2 linked regions of the Nothobranchius furzeri genome follow. The protein of the gene in region 2 purifies or fractionates together with the protein of the main gene of each other region. This does not show direct contact. Links are inferred from orthologs where the notes say so. Each region holds a gene or a part of one and is shown on either strand. Other genes may lie near its edges. The genes, in order: patl1 and lsm1.

Region 1 (8,958 bases), on a different chromosome or scaffold from region 2:
GGCTCATCGGCTGCTTGGGTGGAGTCCCAATAGGCACGGCCCTCACTGGAGGAGAGCCAATCACAGGGGAGGAAGAACGTGGCGGTGGAACCCGCTCGGACAAGTCCCGTCCTTCATCGCTCCTCCCCTGAGGAGGACGCTTTGGGAGACCGCCCTCTTTGATGATGGACATGAGTGGACTGTCCTGCAGAGGAAGCATAAACATCCAGAGTCACCGGTTCTGAAGTTTATACGAGAGTCTGAGACCCGACGAGTCTCCCTGACCTCCATGTGTGTGACGAGTCCGGGGGAGACGCTGACCGGTCCAAAACTCATGCTGTTGTCCCAGATGTTGTGAGAGTTCATCTAAAGACAAGAAGATGTGACAAAGAAACGAGGTTCATCCTGTTCTCGCGTTCCATCAGAACCCACCAGGATGAGCGCGTTAAAGGCTGCGGTTCCTCGTTCATCAGTTTCACCTGTAAATGCTTCTTTTCACCAGCCGCCTGAAATAAATCATCTAAACCAGAAACTCCGCGTTTAAACCCGAGAAAAACGAGAGCAAGCCAACATTTAGACGGGTCCAAGCCCTTTGTTCTGCTGACAGAGTTTATTAAAACAAAACAAGAGGTTCTAAAGATTTTATGTGTTTTAGACCCGAACTGGCCCACAGAGGAGATTCTGGTCCGCTCTGTTCATTTCCTTCGAGTTTCTGTTGTAAATAAACTTGTGTTTTCATGTTTAGCCAACAGTTTCCTGTGTTCTGACTAGAGTTGTGACGGTGTGAAAATCTAACCTCACGGTTGTTGTGAACAAAATTACCACGGTTTTCGGTATTATCGCGGTAGTTTTTTTAAACGTGTTACATTTTCACACAACTAAATAAACCCTGTATATCAGGAAATATTGTCCTCAGTTTGTGTCTAAATGTTGCCTAAAATGTGTTATTCTGTAATTATGTTGTTTATTTGTTTACATTTTCCCCTTCAGTCTTTAAAATACCAATATTTGCCCATAACTTCTTATTTTATGTCCGTTTGATGTCATCATTTTAAAAGTATTAGATCAGATGATACTCAGTACTCAAGTAGCCTTCTAATCAGATACTTTTTTACCCTTACTTGAGTAATAAACCCTATATCAGGAAAATATTGTCCTCGGTTTGTGTCCTTCCAGTGAGCTTTGCAGATGTGGGAAAATGTCATCAGGCAGTAATCGTTGTTAAATTCATAATTATTCTCGGAGAGAGACCAACTCTTATCTGCCCCTGGGAGCCCCGTAATGCATAGCGTCATTTCAACATGGCGGTGTCCGCGACACGGTTTATATGCAGGTAGCGGCGCTGCGGCTGCTTTATATAGCGACTCGTTGCGTTCTCCCTCAACCCAAATCCTCGGATCACGCATTTTAGCTAAAACGCTAACGTTAGCTTGCCTTGCGTTGACTGTAGAGTTGTGGGTGATGGTCACGCAGATGTGTCATGAGATTTGAAGCGTTGCTGCCTTTCACAGACACTTTTTCTGCACGCGCTGCAAACAGGATAGCCGTCTTCTATCAGCTGTCCCTCGGCATTCTTCAGATATCCAAAAAATGCCCGTACTTCCCACTTTGTCTTCTTTGAGGGATAATAAATGTCCTGAGCGCTGCCGTCTCCTCCTTTGGCCATTATTTCAGCTTTAGCTTCAAGAAAGTTTTGGTTGTAAACAACAAAGTGCGCATGTGCCGCCGGCAACTTCAGCAGATGATACGGTGGCTGGTAAGGGTCACCGCGCCTACACCGCAGCCACGCTAACCCACCGACATAATATAGTTTTTAAAAAGCAAGACGGTTATTATTATTGTCTACTTTTTTACCGGGTTTACCGCTACACCGGTTACCGTGACAACCCTAGTTCTGACCCGTTTCCTGTTCCCAGCAGCTTTGTGATGATATGACACAGAAACGTGTCTATACAAAACATTCAACACCTTAAAGGAGTTCAGGATGTTCCCACAGACGCACCGTGACCTGGACTCACCTGGCCCATGGGAGCGGTGCCGCGCCGCAGCAGCTGCTGCTGCTGCTGGTAGCTCAGCATCGAAGAGGAAGGAAGACCTGCAGAGGAGCAACGAGAGTCTGTTAGGTCAGGTATTTCTGGATCCTGTGTGTACCTGCGACGGCGACAGCGTGAGCTCCACTTCTAGATGCACCCGTCAGCAGAGGTGCCTCTGGCGCTTGTGCATCTCTAATCAGCGACTCGTGGACGGAACAGTTTCCAGAGTAATAAAAGCTTCTTTCTATGACCCGTTTCACCACCATGAAGGACAAACTGGATTCTGATTGATGCTGTCAAGCTGACCTGAAGTGATGGGGCCTGGAGGCAGCTGGGGTTGGCGCTGGTGAGGGATGGAGGAGGACTGCGGCAGGACTCTGGGCTGATCCAGACTGTGCAGAACTGACAGGCTGGATGCTGAGGAGCTGGGAGATGGACGGGGCCTCTCGGCTGCCCCCACACCAGCGATGGCCGGGTCTGCCTCCAGGATGAGTCGGGCCAGCGACTCGGCCAGTCCGCCTTCTCTGGCTCGGTCGTCTGCATCTGAAAGAGTTTCAAACAGGACGTCATAAAGACATTACATTTCAGCGAGAACCAGGTGATGAATACTGGGCAACGACGTCACGAACCTTGTGGTGGCAGCCCAGGGGAAGACGAGGAGAAACCGAAGGGAGGAAGGGAAGACTGAAGGGGGGGGTTTACTGAAGAGGAGGGGCGGTGGATGGAGGACCCGGGCTTGGACCCGCCTGAATCCACCTCCCCTTCAACCTCACCTCCTCCTAACCCAACACGCTCATCCAGCTCAGCCAGGCGCTTGTGTTCCTCCTGCCAGTCATCATCTGGAGGAGGAAGGAAAAGATGGAAGTTTGTCAGCTTCCTAAAGCTGCTTTTAGGGAAGATTTTTATAATAAAAAATATCAATAAAACCACCAAACCCTAAAAAAGGGTTCCGACCAAAATGGTGTCGGATCAGCAAAGATCACATGAAATCAAAACTTCCAGCATGTTTCATGTGAGACTCACCGATGGCGCCAGCTCCGAAGGTGTCATCGTTGAACTGATCTATTTCATCTTCCTCTTCTATTAGTCCATCATCTTCCTCCTCCAGCGTACAGTCGTCATCCAGGGACTGACCGGGCAAACAGGAAGAGCGGATGAGTTAGGAACCAGGAGGAATGCGAACTAAACATAAAAAAATGCTAAATCAACGAAAACACGCACATCTTCTCTGCACACGGGACCAAACACAATCACGAGTAGCTTCATTACTTTCAAAACTAATAATCCTGAAATGATTTCCAGTTTATTTGCCGAAATATTCAGAAAATCGATTCAGCTTGTTGTAATTTTACAGTTTTCATATCTTCTGGCTTGTCCCTTCAAGGGTCACAACAGCAAATCGTATGTCTCCATCCATCCATCCAATCTCTTCCCATTATAAGGGGTCGGGTCATGGGGGCAGCAGCTTAAGCAGGGAGGCCCAGACTTCCCTCTCCCCAGCCACGTGGACCAGATCCTCCGGGGGAAACCCAAAGTGTTCCCTGGCCAGTCGAAAAACGCAGTCCCTCCAGCGTGTCCTGGGTCTTCCTTTAGGTCTCCACATGGTTGGACGTGCCCAGAAAACCTTACCAAGGAGGCATCCAAGAGCCATCCTAACCAGGTGCTCAAGCCACCTCAACTGGCTCCTCTCTAGCTCTAAGGAAGAACCCGGCCACCCTGGAGAAAACTCATTTCGACCATGGAACGTAGATCGACCAAGAAATCCAGAACTTTGGCTTCTTGCTCTGCTCTTTTGGCCACGACAGACCGGTACAACGCCTACATCACTGCATCGCACCAATCCGCCTGTCGATCTCATGCTCCATCTTTTCCTCACTCATGAACGAGAATCCGAGATACTTGTTCAGTCCCAGACCAGGAGAAGACACACCCCTTTCCGACTCAAGGCCAAGCGGAGCGTGGGAGAACCAGCGCCATGTGACTCCTAATGTTAGGGGAAGCCGCGGCGCAGATGAAGTTGAAGCAGAACAAGAGTCAAGAAGATGGATAAAAAACAACAAGGTTTCCTAACAGGAATAAAACCGTGATGGAGGCTAGAGATCTGTATTTTCAGAAATTGTCTATAATCAATAACGTAGATCTCTACGACCTCAAAGGAACCAGGCAGAGCTCAGACGTTTCATTACTGCCGAAAACATATCACTGAAGTTAAAGGCTTAATTGTTGCATTTTAAAGGATGTACTTGCATTAATATGAATGATTAACATTACATTAGTGGTTATCTCGATAACGTCGACAATAATATCATTTATTGTCAATAACTTGTTGGACAATATTTCGTCCTGCAAAATTTGTTAGAGTCCCGATTCAGAAGACATGAAGACAAAATACCCGGATCCAAACCCGTACCCTTACAGAACACAGGTCCACATCCACTACAGAACCTGGGTTTTGGACCTGGTGCTGACACCAGTCTGGATGATCCTCTTCTTTGGTTCCAGTCCATATGGAGTCCAATTCCTCCAACAAAAACTTGGAAGACCGTTGTAATTCCCATTTTCCCAGTGAGTTTGGTCAATCCCAGATAGTCTAAAGAGGTCACCACCACCTCTGGACTGAGTCAAGATCAGGTTTCTGTTATGTTAAAAAGTAAAAGCTGGTTGCTCCATGGTGTAGAACTGGGGGGGGGCTTGGCCCTAGAGGGCCGCTATCCAGCAGGTTTTAGTTGTTTCTCTGCTTAAACACACCTGGTTTGAATCTGCTGTGATTAACAGGCTGCTGCAGAGCCTGGTGAGCTGCCGCACAGGTTTGTTGATTTTTGTAGATAATAAGGACCTAAATAGGAAAGGTTCAGAGTCTCAGACTGAACAGGAAACCACTTTAGATCTTCTCCATTCCCAGTGAGTCGTGGAGGATGGCTGCTTATACCGAGCCAGGATCCTCTGGAGGTTTCTTCCTGTTAAAAAGGAGTTTTCCTCTCCACTGTAGCTATATGCTTGTTAAGTATGAGGATTGCTGTATAGTCACAGACACTAGTCAGTGACTTGATGCGACCCGCTGGGTTCCTTATATAGGAAACTTTTTTCTGATTGGCTTAATGAACTGACCTGAATTGGAATGTTTATTATGTGAAGTGCCTTGAGACAACTCTTGTCGTGATTTGGCGCTTTATAAATAAACTTGAATTGAAAAGTTTACAAGTACCTGTTAAGACCACCTTTTTACCTAATTTTATCTCATCAGTCAAAGGGTCTAGAATAACCCAGTCCCAACTCTTGCTCTACATTTGCTAAGAGTCTAAATGCAGAACTAAAGATGACTGTAAATGAAGCTAGTGGGGGTTTCCTTTACTGATAATCTAAACTTAAATCACGGTGAAGCAGAAAAGCTGCACGCGACCCTCAGACATCCTGCAGACAGCCCGAGGACCAGTTAGCTTCGGTGCTAACCTGGACATTACATCACATAAAACACATCAGTAGAAAATCTGTCAAATAAAATCATGTCGGGTTAGTGACCGCAGTCTGGCCCTGTACAGCAACACGATACGAATCACACAGCCGGGTTATCTGGGCCGACAGAGGACGGGGAGGCTAGCCGTCCCTCCGGCTCACGTCACCAGGAAAGCGGGCTGCTTCACAGGCCGCAGACCGCATTGAAGTCTGGCAGCCGCATAAACAAAGGCCAGAAGCCTCACGCGGACCAGAACCACAAGAGAACATTCGATACACACAAACCTCCCGGTTCTGGTGGGGTCCAGGCTCACTTACACGGACCAATGCTCACCTGAAATCGAAACATCGATCCTCAGGTTGTCGGGAAAAGGAGAGCATCAGGAGCGAAGCTGCGCGCAAACGACGCAGCGGGGACGGGACGTCTTTCACTTAAGCGCGTGACAGCACAGTGAACGAGCACGTAACTGCGTGGCTGCTGGTGACGTTGAGGCTACGCTGGAAAAACAGGAAGAAGGACAGTAAACACAGAAAACGGAGAGACACGGTAAACAAATATGTTTTTATTGATATGAGCCTGGTTTTGTTTTCTGAATGTTTTTGTTTTCGACCCCTTTCATTATTTATGTTAACTAAATGCATTTAGCGAAACAGGCAGATTAATGAATTGCTGTCAAACATCAGGTGAGTCTGGGAAGCAGAATATTTTAAATCCTTGTTTTATAAATCATGCATAATAATGATATTTCAGCTTTTAGGTAAAAAGTATCACATGACCTCTTGAAAAAGTGTAATTATAAATGTGTTATATAACAAACACTTAAAGTGACAGTGTGTATTTTTCCTGGCGATAGGGGGCGGTAGATACCTAAATCGTTGCAAGCAGTTTTTTTGTGTTGGAGTAAGACCATGCCAACGGATATCCATTAGGGTCAAAAAGCCCTGGGGAGTGTAAACTTTTGCAAAATAAATGGTAAATGGTAAACGGCCTTTATTTGATATAGCACCTTCTAGAGTCCTGGAACCCCCCAAGGCACGTTACAACACAATCAGTCATTCACCCATTCACACACACATTCACACACTGGTGGGGATGAGCTACGATGTAGCCACAGCTGCCCTGGGGCGCACTGACAGAGGCGAGGCTGCCGAGCTCTGGCGCCACCGGTCCCTCCGACCACCACCAGCAGGCAACGTGGGTTAAGTGTCTTGCCCAAGGACACAACGACAGCGACAGACTGAGCGGGGCTCGAACCTGCAACCTTCCGATTACGGGGCGAGCACTTAACTCCTGTGCCACCGTCACCCTCAGACACTCTTTCATCACTGGCAACAAGTGAAGATGTACATGTGTAAAACAACATTTAAGAATGACAAAAGTTTTGTAACCGCTTGTTGCTAATCAGTAAATGAAATTTGTCCTCATGGGCTCCCGTAGAAGGACACATTGCATCAAATAAGCCGTCGCCCAGAGACTTAGACCCACTCCCATGTGTGGCCTGATTTATACTTCTCCGTCTGCATCAATGCGGAGACACGCAGCACCATTATAAGTCGGCGCAAGGGCTCTCCGACAGGCTCACAGAGGGTGACGGAGACAAGCCCAAAATTTTAAACATCCGTCGAAAGTGACGGAGACTGCAAGCCTGTGATTGGTCAGGACGCTGCTTCCTGTATATTTGTCATCAGCACCGCTGTAACTTCGTTAAAAAGTAACCAGATATTTAGCCAATATTTAGCAGCAGACCTCGAACAGATTGAAGAACGCATCACGGAAAAAGTCCAAAAATTATCAACATTTATTCACCCATGAATGAAGGAGTACAAAATACAGAGCAAACGTGGACGGAAGCGATGGGAAATGTGGGTTTAGAGGTGGCGTTCGCATGAAGAGGTGGACGAGAATGAAGGACAAATTTGGCCCTGTTATAAAGTCTCTGAAATAAATAAACATATTAGTAAATACACTATCGGGGACTGGATACGTTAGTGTTATGGTGGCAAGATACCACAGAAAAGCGCTACGCCCTCTGTTGTCCTGCTGGGGAATTGCTTTGTAACACTCTTTTTTGTTATTATCAACATATGCTTATTACAGTTTCTCGTGGAGACAACAACACATAATGGAAACATGCAAGGCATCCTTAGTAACAATAAAAGAAAAACAAATAAGAAACTTAAAAAAGAGGCACTTATATCACTAAGTAAAAACCGTGTTACAAGATGAAACACTTTTCTGCAGCATGACAAATGGCTTTTGCAATTACATTTGAATTTTTTATACGAGTCAAAGTGAATAAGAACATACGAAATTCCTTCATGATGCAGTTCATGTTTGGCAGTTGTTTTTTCCATTTGCTTTTGTGGATGTGGTATTTAGAATAGAATAGAATAGAATAGAATAGAATAGAATAGAATAGAATAGAATACTTTATTTGTCAATTCTTCGAATGTGCTTGCCATACAAGGAATTGAAATTACGTTTCCCACTGTCCCATGCGTAGACATTTACATAAAGTGCAGATGCACAACAATAACAAAACAAAAAACATCCCTAACAATAAGATAATATTAAACAGGTAAATATCGCTAATAATATACAAAACATATAGCAGCAGGTGTGTGCAATTTCTATGCAGAGGTAGTTGTTTACATTCAGAAATGTTTACCCCATTATTGGTTCAACCACTATTTCCTTTTTGTATAATGTGTATGTGTGTGTGTGTGTGTGTGTGTGTGTGTGTGTTATTATTTACCCATAATAATAATAATAATGTTAATTAACGATGAAATATTCCCATTTAATTTAGAATTGTAAATAATAATATCTTCATTTGTAAAACGATCAACTTCTCTTATTTTATTTCTTCACCAACAATGGGCTTCTTCCCAAAACTTCTTACTTTGTAACACTCTGCTGCCTGAACAGAAGTTCGAATGTGAAAACCTTTCCGACACCCCATGTGTGTTTCTCTGTTGCGGAGCTCACGGAGAAGTATAAATCAGGCTTTAGACCTGATTTTTATGGTTATATGTTATGAAGCTGCCAGTATTTCCCAACAACTGGGCATCGTTTCATCCATTTTCAACAACATTTTAATGGATATTTCCAGAGGTTAATGGTAAAATCTACACATTGCCTCTTAAAGCTTAAATTTAAATCTAATAGAAGAGTGGCTGAAATTTCCATCAAAGCACTTGTGGCTCTAAATCATCCTGGTGTTGCATCAGGATTAGTACCTTCATCAGAAACCAGTTACAGTCCCATACAGGTATGTTGCCTCCAGGTGGAGGGTGTACAGGTGGTGAGGGCCGAGGTCATTTGTTTATGACACGTTTTTATGATGTTATTATATTAACATTAGACAATAAATAATCCACTTTAAAACAATATTATTATATTATTATTTTATTTTTCAGACTTTAACGGTTAGGTTCTTAAACCACAATTATGTGTTTTAAATTTCTCATGTTTTAGCCTATTAAAATGTAC
Region 2 (8,751 bases):
TCACAACTAATATTGGTTTTCATTCTTGGGACTGGCTGATAATAGGATTTTTTTTTCTTTTCCGGGGATCTATCAATGGTAGTCTTCACTTTAGATGATAAGAACATGACTGCACCAAAGGGAGACCCGGGGGACCATTATCAGTGCTTCTTTCCTTTGATGTAAAGACGTTGAGTACAACACTAATAGGCCTGCTGCAGAAGGTGTTTCCCTTACTCTTATATAAACAACAGTGTAATAAATTTCCTGAAATTTTATTCTGGATTTTCGTTTAGGTGGGCCCCATCACCCCCAACTTGTTGAAAGGTTTTTGCAACAGTGCCTCTCTAAACTTCCCCAATTCATCTCCACATTGCTGGAAGAAAACAGTGTTTCCAAATCAGGAGAATATAATCACACACACACACACACACACACACACACACACACACACACACACACACACACACACACACACACACACACACACACACACACACACACACACACACACACACACACACTATTTTCAACCCTATCTGCATAATTAAATGTAAAGAAAGTTGAACATTTCTATAAGTTTAGAAATAATTTTTGTTAAATTCTTTATTATTTTCAGTTTTGATCCAGTCATGATTTCTATTTTTACTGAATTCAGGTGGAACTTTATGCAAATCAGGTCTGACATGAACCTTCTAACAAACATGGGATCGTTGATCACCCTACCACCACGAATGGCAGCAGAAACCTGCAGAGTCTGACTCCAGATAATAAGCAAACTCTTCCACTAGAACAGGACATCAGCGATGCTGCCATCAGCTGCATGTGGCCTTCAGACATTTGACTCCCCCTCCTCGTGTGTGTGCCTCTCTTTTGCAGGGGCCCCTCTTGCATAGATTTTAGCAGCAGTCACGTCATCAGCTCACTGTCCAAATGCCAGCCAGCCTCCCCTCGTGCGTCCCCTCTCTGGGGGAGTTTATTCCCTGCCTTGTGTGCGCTTCAGCATTCAGAATGTTGCGAAAGAGCCGCCTTCGTTTGCACAGACAGCGAAAGCGGATGTGGGAGGCAGACCCTCCCCTCACATCTGCGGGGAAACGATCTGTCAAAATTAGCGAGGATAAAACAATGACAGACATGTTTTGGGAGGATTTCGTTGTTAACGAGCTGAACTGTGATCCGCCGCTGCTGTGATGTCTTACATAAGACCCTCTCTGTTTTCTGTTGCATCTGCCGGATTTACCTGAGCCGCACAATCCGCAGGCTGCCGTTATCCCTGCGATCATTCCCACTTTTTCTGCATGCAGAGCGCAAAATGTCACAAAGCAGGGGCCCTGTCTGCCATTCGCACAGAGTTGAGTTTATACCATTCCACTTACCCTCTCTCGCTTTTAGCAGTACAGTGTTGGCTACTATGTTCTCCAGCTCCATGAAAAGCTGAAAAATCCTGAATGCAGAGGGTTTTTTTTCGGTACTCGAGCGTCTGCAGCGAGAACAGCGTCCTTTCCTGCTGGCACGGCGCGATCTCCTCGATTTCACTCCTCGACGATATCCGAGCAAATTTCACTCCTATCAAAGTCGTAAAGGATAAAACAGGATGTCATAGATTTGCTTGCAGTGTAAATTGGGCATGGTTCTTGTTGTGGGCTGGAAGTACGGCGCTGCATTTCGACTCCAATTCCCCAAAAACCGTTCCATGCGTGGTTTGGATGCCAGATCTCTCCGATGCAGAAAAGCATTAACTTGGAGGAATCCGATGTTGATGAAACCGGGTTGATCTGAGGAGATCCTTCACTCGGATACAGCAGGAGAGCAACAGCGGCGGCAGGGGTTGGCTGAGTGCACCAGAGAGGACACCAGAGCGCCCCCTCCTCCGGAGTTGGTGCGTAATCAGGCTGGGCCTAAATTACACAGAAGCGTCAAGACGCACTGATTAACGCCACCGGAACGTTTCACCAAAATAAAAGCTCTGCGACTATTGTGACTTATCTGGCTCCTGATCTCTCCCTCACCCCTCAATAAGGTCACATGGGCTGGTGTCTACCTCCAGCAGTCATGAGAAACCGGGGGACACCTTGGACAGGTCTCCAGTCCATCACTAAGCCACACAGGGAGACCAACCAGTGACATTCACTAACAACTACGGATAAATTAGTTTATTATTATTTTTTTAACATGCGTGTCTTTGGTCTGTGGGAGGACAACACGAGCACCCGAAGAAAACACATGCATTCACGGGGAAAACATGCAAACTCCACACTGAAAGGCTGCAAAGGGGGATTCAACCAGTCAACCTTCTTGCTGTTACCAACTGCACCACCATGTGGCCCACATCTGGATCTCGGAAATTTAAAAAGCATAAACTACCCAAAAATAACAGATATTAACAAATTATTTTTGGCAAGCCATGCAGCATCTTTACAGTTCCTATTGCAGGACTGTGTATATGTGAAAATACTTAATAACCCTGGAGTGATTTTTGCACATGATCTACTTTAGCATAATTCTGCCATTAGTACAAGACCACTCATATGACAGCTTGGCTAAGTTGATATTTAGCAGCTTTTAAAATAACTATATTTTGCATCTCGTGTTGATTTTTGTTTGGAAAAACTACCCTGGGGAGAGTTTGGCAAACCCAGTCATTTGTAAATGCAGCCATTGCTTTTCCATAAGCTGCAGTCTGCATAAGGGCTAAAGCTCAAGTGTACATTCATGACACAAACCCATTTTGATTTAAAGAGAGCAGCTTTAGAATGGGCATCTAAGTCATTCAGACCTGGCAGAAAAATAAATCTATACAAATGCAGCCTTTCCAAATAATATAAAAAACTTTTAATTCAGCAAGAGCCAAAAATCATCTGTGTTAAAACTAAATAGGACCTATCAGCTTAGCTATGCTCAAATAAATTTTAATAAATATTTAAAGCTGCATTAATTAAAACCAGTTGCCAGCTACTATAATTGTGTTCATGTTTAAACCTTTTTTCTTAAAACACAACATTACTACGAAGGTTAAAATGTGTTACTGATAAGAATGCTCTTGAAATGGTATTTCTGTTTTTTTAAAGTGCATTTTAGTTAAAAGGTTGTGAACAATTAACATCTTGCATGTTGTCTTTAAACAACCTCAGTTTGGAAAAACGCAGAGCGCCTCCTATAGAAAGAACATGCCAATGGCTGGTCTGAAAAGGGCCGGTTGCGAAGCATTCCTGCTGTCTTAAGTTAATACTCATATTAAAACATTAGGGGTTTATAAAAGCATTATTTAGTTCACTTTTTACATAGAACTCGGTTATTTGCAGCAGAAATTAGCTGTGTGGCTCTAGCACCATAAGCTGGGATGTCATAACTCTACCAGAATAACTGTGTGTGAAAATTACAGTGGTGAAAGCGATTAAATATCATCTCCAAAAGTGCTTTAAAGTGTTGGAGACAAATGGTTTTAAGATGCTCTGCAGCCCTGTTTAGTCAAGCCGTTAACTCGTCTGTTTAATCAGAACTAATCTGTTTCTCCAAGAGAACAAGAAATCAACTCTTCCACATAATCCCACTTTCCAAGATGGTGTAAAGCCTTACGGGGAAGAGTTTTATTTTGAAAGCAGACAGGAAATCACAGTTCTAAGAATAAAAAGCTTGATCTCACATTAAACTCAAATTTTCCTCCTGTTCTCTACTGTTTAATAAAAGAACCAGATGAAGTTTAGAGTAGATGCTGATGCAACAGAAGCTGCTCCCTGCCCGTTGCATCATCATCATCCATCCAGACTTATAGGGACTGATGAAGCCTAATAGGATCGATTTCTCCAACCCGTCCTCTCTACAACAGGAAGCTGTCCGATGCACTGATATGCTTCAACTCAATTATCCAAATGAAATCTGCCTCTAGTGAGTACATGGAACAAGAGAACAGCCATGCTGAATCTGACGGTAATGCTGGTGGGGTTGGGTTCTTGCAGGGGGTTTCAGGGATTTTTATTTCTTTCCACAAGCATATGCTCCATAAATACAAACTAAAATCTTTATTGGTGGAAAGTAATGTTTGTCAAAAGCAGACTCACAAATCTCCACAACAGAAGACATCATAGCAAAATAATATAATCACAAAGTGTTTCTGTGAAAGGATTACCAACATAATGATCATGATCCAATACCATTTAATGCGCTGACATGAATTACCAAAAAATAAAACAGCAGATCATCTTTTCCTTTTAAAACAAAATATTCAATACTAAATGAAAATTAAATGATGCCGTCTTTAGCCAACTGGGAATTAAAAGACAAAAACACTAATTTCCAACGTAAATGTAGCAGTCTGATACAAACTGAGAAAGACGCTCGTGAAAAATGGCGACATCAGTACTCGTCCATGTTATCCGCTTTGGGAATGGAAAGGCCTCGGTCCTTTAGCACCTGCATTTTGACCTTCTCCGTCTCCTGCTTGGTTTGCTGCTGCTGTCGCTGCTCCTCCAGGATCTCCTCGATGGAGACCTGCTGCAAGACCGTGTCACAGGGTTTATCCACATCCTGCAGGGATGCAGACACATCCAAGGTCAAACAGCAAACTCAAAGCCAAATTGTGGCTAAGTGATACTAAATGTTCTGGCAGGCTTGCATCCCTCACATGGTTCAAACTTCCACTCTTGTACTAGTCTGAGTTGTGATGGCTAGTTGTTTAAGTGAAGAGCAGCAAACCTGTCATATAGAGGGAATCACTGCCTAACAGCTTATTTTCAGCTATTTAAATTGAAAATAAATTAGTAATGAGTGATAAGTGAGTAACAGGACATAACTTAATTCTTCCATGAAGCTCAAAGCGATGAGAACATCTTGCAAAGCAAAATTAAGATGCCCATCCTTACATACATGTTGGTAACAAGAAGTGTCACTGTGTGCTGTAGACGCTCCACCAGTACAGGCTGTACTGGTGTCAGTGCAGATTTGCATGATGTACATTTGTAGAGCGAGATAAGTTGGAGATCATGAGTCACGCTTGTTCTGTGTGCTGGCCTAGAAGGTCCTCAGCCCCTGGAATGGGTCACTGCAAAGATCAGCTCAAGAATCTCTCTCACAAGTTAAACTTCATAACCCTAAATTACACCAGGAGAGTAAAAAAAAAATTACTCACAAAAAGATAAATATAGAAATCAGCTGTGAAAATAATGGATAAAGTAGTAAAATTCAATCATAGACGCTACATAAACGGTTATATTTTTAATTGGCCCCTCTGCAATGAATATTTCGTTTAAAACAAAATCAAAATCTGTTCACTGGAGGTAAAACCCCAAGATAGCTTTCCCATAAGTCCGCTCATACCGAGATTACCACCCACCCCCCCTCAACTAAACATTACTGAGCTTTAAATCCTTAAAACAGCACCTGTATCATTAAGTAGTGATAATAGTTTCTCTGCATTACCTAAAAATATGCATATGAGCCATTTATCTTTAAGTCTTCACCCATTACATCAGCCTGCCAAGGAGCGCAGATTTTAATCAAATTACAATACTGGGGAAAAGTTCAAGTAAAGTAAGAGTAAAATACAGATGTCAAATAGTGCATTGTCCTTTTTTGTCAAAGTTTACCAAGCACTGTAATCAAAACAGCATGTGACTTTAAAAATAAATATATTCTCCCGTTTATTAAATTTGGCTCTAGAAGAAATTTGCAAAGCTTCATTTCTGAGATCAAGTCAAACTATTCAGAAAAAGACCCATTTAAGCACAGATCTCCCTACAAGGTTTCCATAGCGTCTGAGGAGGAAATGCTTATTGCAGTTCTTTATTTTCTCCACACTACAGCACTGTTGCACCCATCCATCCGTTATCAGTACCTGCTTGTCCATGCAGGGTGGTGGAGAGCACTGTTGCATCTGTCCATTTACTCTGGGTAGGAACGGTGTCTGTGTGAATCACTTCAGCTAACCAAAGCCAGCTCAGCAGTCTGCTGCTGTGCAGCAATGTAAAACTCTATAATCTAGTTTAAAGTGTGTGATGAGGATAATTCTGCTGAGTAAGCGCTGGACTTCATCATGAGATCTAAATACGATCCCGACTGTCCACCGCAGGTAAGACGCCAACTACTCATTAGCTGCTTGGCAGAAAATTACTTGGAAAAAAATCTGAATTTTTCCCAGTTAAACAGAAAAATGTGCCCTGAATAATATAAGACATAATATAAGCAGGTAGCTTATTTAATACTACTAAAACAGACCTTAAAGGGCCAGTTCTCATCTTTTTAAGTGGGACGGATGTGGAAAAGTTGTAGACCGCTGATATCCAACTTATTGACTGTAGCTCATAGAATTGCTTTGGTTCGGAGAAACTGATTAGTTATGATTGAGCATTAAAGTGAAAAAAAAAAGTCACAAATTCTCATCTTCAAAATTTCTCAGCATATTAAAAAGTGAACATTCCCTTAAATGTGTGTTTATTCCAGCAGAATCATAATAAAATTCCAGCCAAAAAAATGTTACAATAGCTGGAGATGCAGTTCATTTCTGTTAATTTCCCACAGAAATGCTCCAAGAGGTGCCGTGCATTTAACAAAATAGAAGTTGCATGGAATACTATAAAATATTTTGGGTTTGGTTAATTTGGCAAAAACACTTTGTGACCCCACTCGGACTAGCCATAAGCGTGTGTTACTCCGTCGAAAACAACATTTTTCTCCAAGCTGTGGCTGTTCCAAACACCACCTTTAACTTCTCATACGTCATCACGTGCACTCTGTGTGAGGTATAACTCAAAGTAAAAATTAAGGAAGAATGTTTATGCAGAAATAAAGAATGTCTTCTTAATTCATTTCCATTTGCTGACCCCATTTTGGGATAGGGACATAATAAATGAAGTATAAAAGATCTAAATAAAAATATCTCAGATTTTAAAAAATGAGCTTACTATCTCTCCAAGCAGAACTACATTTTCTCCTCTGACGATGAAGATGCCTCTGGGGATGTCACCAAACTTTTTCCCCACGTGGATCCTCTCTACGGTCTGGTGAAACACCAGATTGGCTGAAGAACAGAAGCAGAAAATCAGTTGAAATGAAATATAAGGTGCGGAGATCATCAGCTGACCGATTAATTAGAAATGCTTCCATCTGTATTGACGCGGAGTTAGAAAACAAAGTGGACTTTTAAAAATAAGAGTACCAAACTGGTCGATGCTTCTGAGGTAACCAATCAGCGTCCTGCCATCTCGGAGCAGCACCAGGTGCTTTTCTGCAGGAGGAAAACAAAACATGAACGTTAGATATGCGTTTTACTCGCTTGTGTACGTAAATATCGAGACTCAAACATTTTCTACTAAACCATGTCAACAACTACAAAATTCAGCTTCTGTCTTACTGTCAATGTCGTCAATAAGGCTTGCAGTCCCCGGTACGTAATTCATATTGGTCTTTAGGTTTTCTCCGTTTTAATATCCCTGTGTTCCGTCAAGCCATGAATGTTTTAAAATGTTTATTGAACAAGACCACAGGAAGTGTCTTTATACATGCTCACGGTGAACTTCCTGTAAACGTTTAACCCGTTCTTCTTTTTTGGTGGTTTTTGGCTGTTGGCAAATGTTTGACTACCGCCACCTTCTGGCGTGGAGTGTTACAGACGGTGCATGCGTGCACATACCATGCATTATACTCCCTAAATAATAATAATAATAATAATAATAATAATAATAATAATAATAATAATAATAATAATAATAATATAATGGTAATATTATTATTATTATTATTTGGATTCAATCTCTTCAAATAATAAAAAGGCTGTAAAAACAAAAGACGTAGTTGATACATTTAAACTGTAAAATGTATTTTCTTCTTTCTTTTCCCTTGCGTTTTATAATAAGTTAATAAATTTATAAGTATACTTACCTCACTCTTGATTGTTCTGTAAAATTCACTTTAATTTTGATGTATAGGTGATGGGAAATTGTAAAAGCAAATTTTGTATACTCTTCCTCCTCTATCTGCTTCCTCTTCAGCACATCCTGAGCTCCTTCAAAGGAATCTCCATACCATCTTTATGCAGATGACATCCAACTGTACATCTCCTTTGAGCCCCATGAGATGTCTAAGCTGCAGCTGTTACACACCTGCTTAGACTCTATCAAAACCTGGATGGCTGGGAGCTTTCTTCAACTGAATGAAGATAAGACTGAGATCCTCATCTGCGCCCCAGACAAGCTGGTTCCCAAAGTCAGAGACTCTCTTGGTCAGCTTGCTTCCCACACCAAACCTTCTGTCAGGAATCTTGGCGTGACCTTTGACCCAGCTCTCACCCTGGATTCTCATGTCAGTTCTCTTGTTCGCTCTTCCTTCTTCCATCTCAGGAACATTGCTAAGCTGAGTCCCATTCTGTCTCCGTCTGAACTTGAGACAGTTCTCCACACCTTCATCTCCTCACGCATTGACTACTGTAACTCTCTTTTCACGTGTCTGAGCAGAACCTCCCTGAACCGTCTACAGGTGATTCAGAATGCCTGTGCTCGGCTTCTGAGAAAGTCCTCCAAATACACCCACATCACCCCGCTTCTCCTCCAGCTTCACTGGCAGCCAGTCAACTTCAGGGTTCATTTCAAGATCCTGGTTCTGGTCTATAGGGCCTTACATGGACAAGTGTGACGCCCACAAAGTGTGGTCACATACTTTTGTTAAAACATTTAGTGGTGTAATTTAGTAAAAGTAATAAAATAAGAATAGGAAAGTGTGGGGTGCAATACCGGGGTTCTCCACAAGGTGGCGGGGGGATGCGAGACGGCTAGTGGAGCTCTG

The links.
Region 1: the proteins of lsm1 (region 2) and patl1 purify together in Homo sapiens (co-immunoprecipitation; 3 studies listed by BioGRID and IntAct, with this or other methods). This does not show direct contact. The link is inferred for Nothobranchius furzeri from reciprocal best matches to the Homo sapiens genes LSM1 and PATL1.

The regions. Positions count from the first base shown.
Region 1 is NC_091746.1:29,997,602-30,006,559, reverse strand, and holds the start of patl1 (protein PAT1 homolog 1), read right to left. Parts: upstream 5,934-8,958; 5' UTR 5,815-5,933; coding exon 5,800-5,814; intron 3,142-5,799; coding exon 3,036-3,141; intron 2,852-3,035; coding exon 2,642-2,851; intron 2,556-2,641; coding exon 2,319-2,555; intron 2,075-2,318; coding exon 1,998-2,074; intron 346-1,997; coding exon 265-345; intron 185-264; coding exon 1-184. UniProt on the Homo sapiens protein: RNA-binding protein involved in deadenylation-dependent decapping of mRNAs, leading to the degradation of mRNAs. Acts as a scaffold protein that connects deadenylation and decapping machinery.
Region 2 is NC_091757.1:36,764,505-36,773,255, forward strand, and holds lsm1 (U6 snRNA-associated Sm-like protein LSm1), read right to left. Parts: upstream 7,502-8,751; 5' UTR 7,371-7,501; coding exon 7,325-7,370; intron 7,199-7,324; coding exon 7,130-7,198; intron 6,992-7,129; coding exon 6,876-6,991; intron 4,504-6,875; coding exon 4,333-4,503; 3' UTR 3,984-4,332; downstream 1-3,983. Other genes in the region: grk5l (G protein-coupled receptor kinase 5), read right to left, coding at 1,356-1,407. UniProt on the Homo sapiens protein: Plays a role in the degradation of histone mRNAs, the only eukaryotic mRNAs that are not polyadenylated. Probably also part of an LSm subunits-containing complex involved in the general process of mRNA degradation.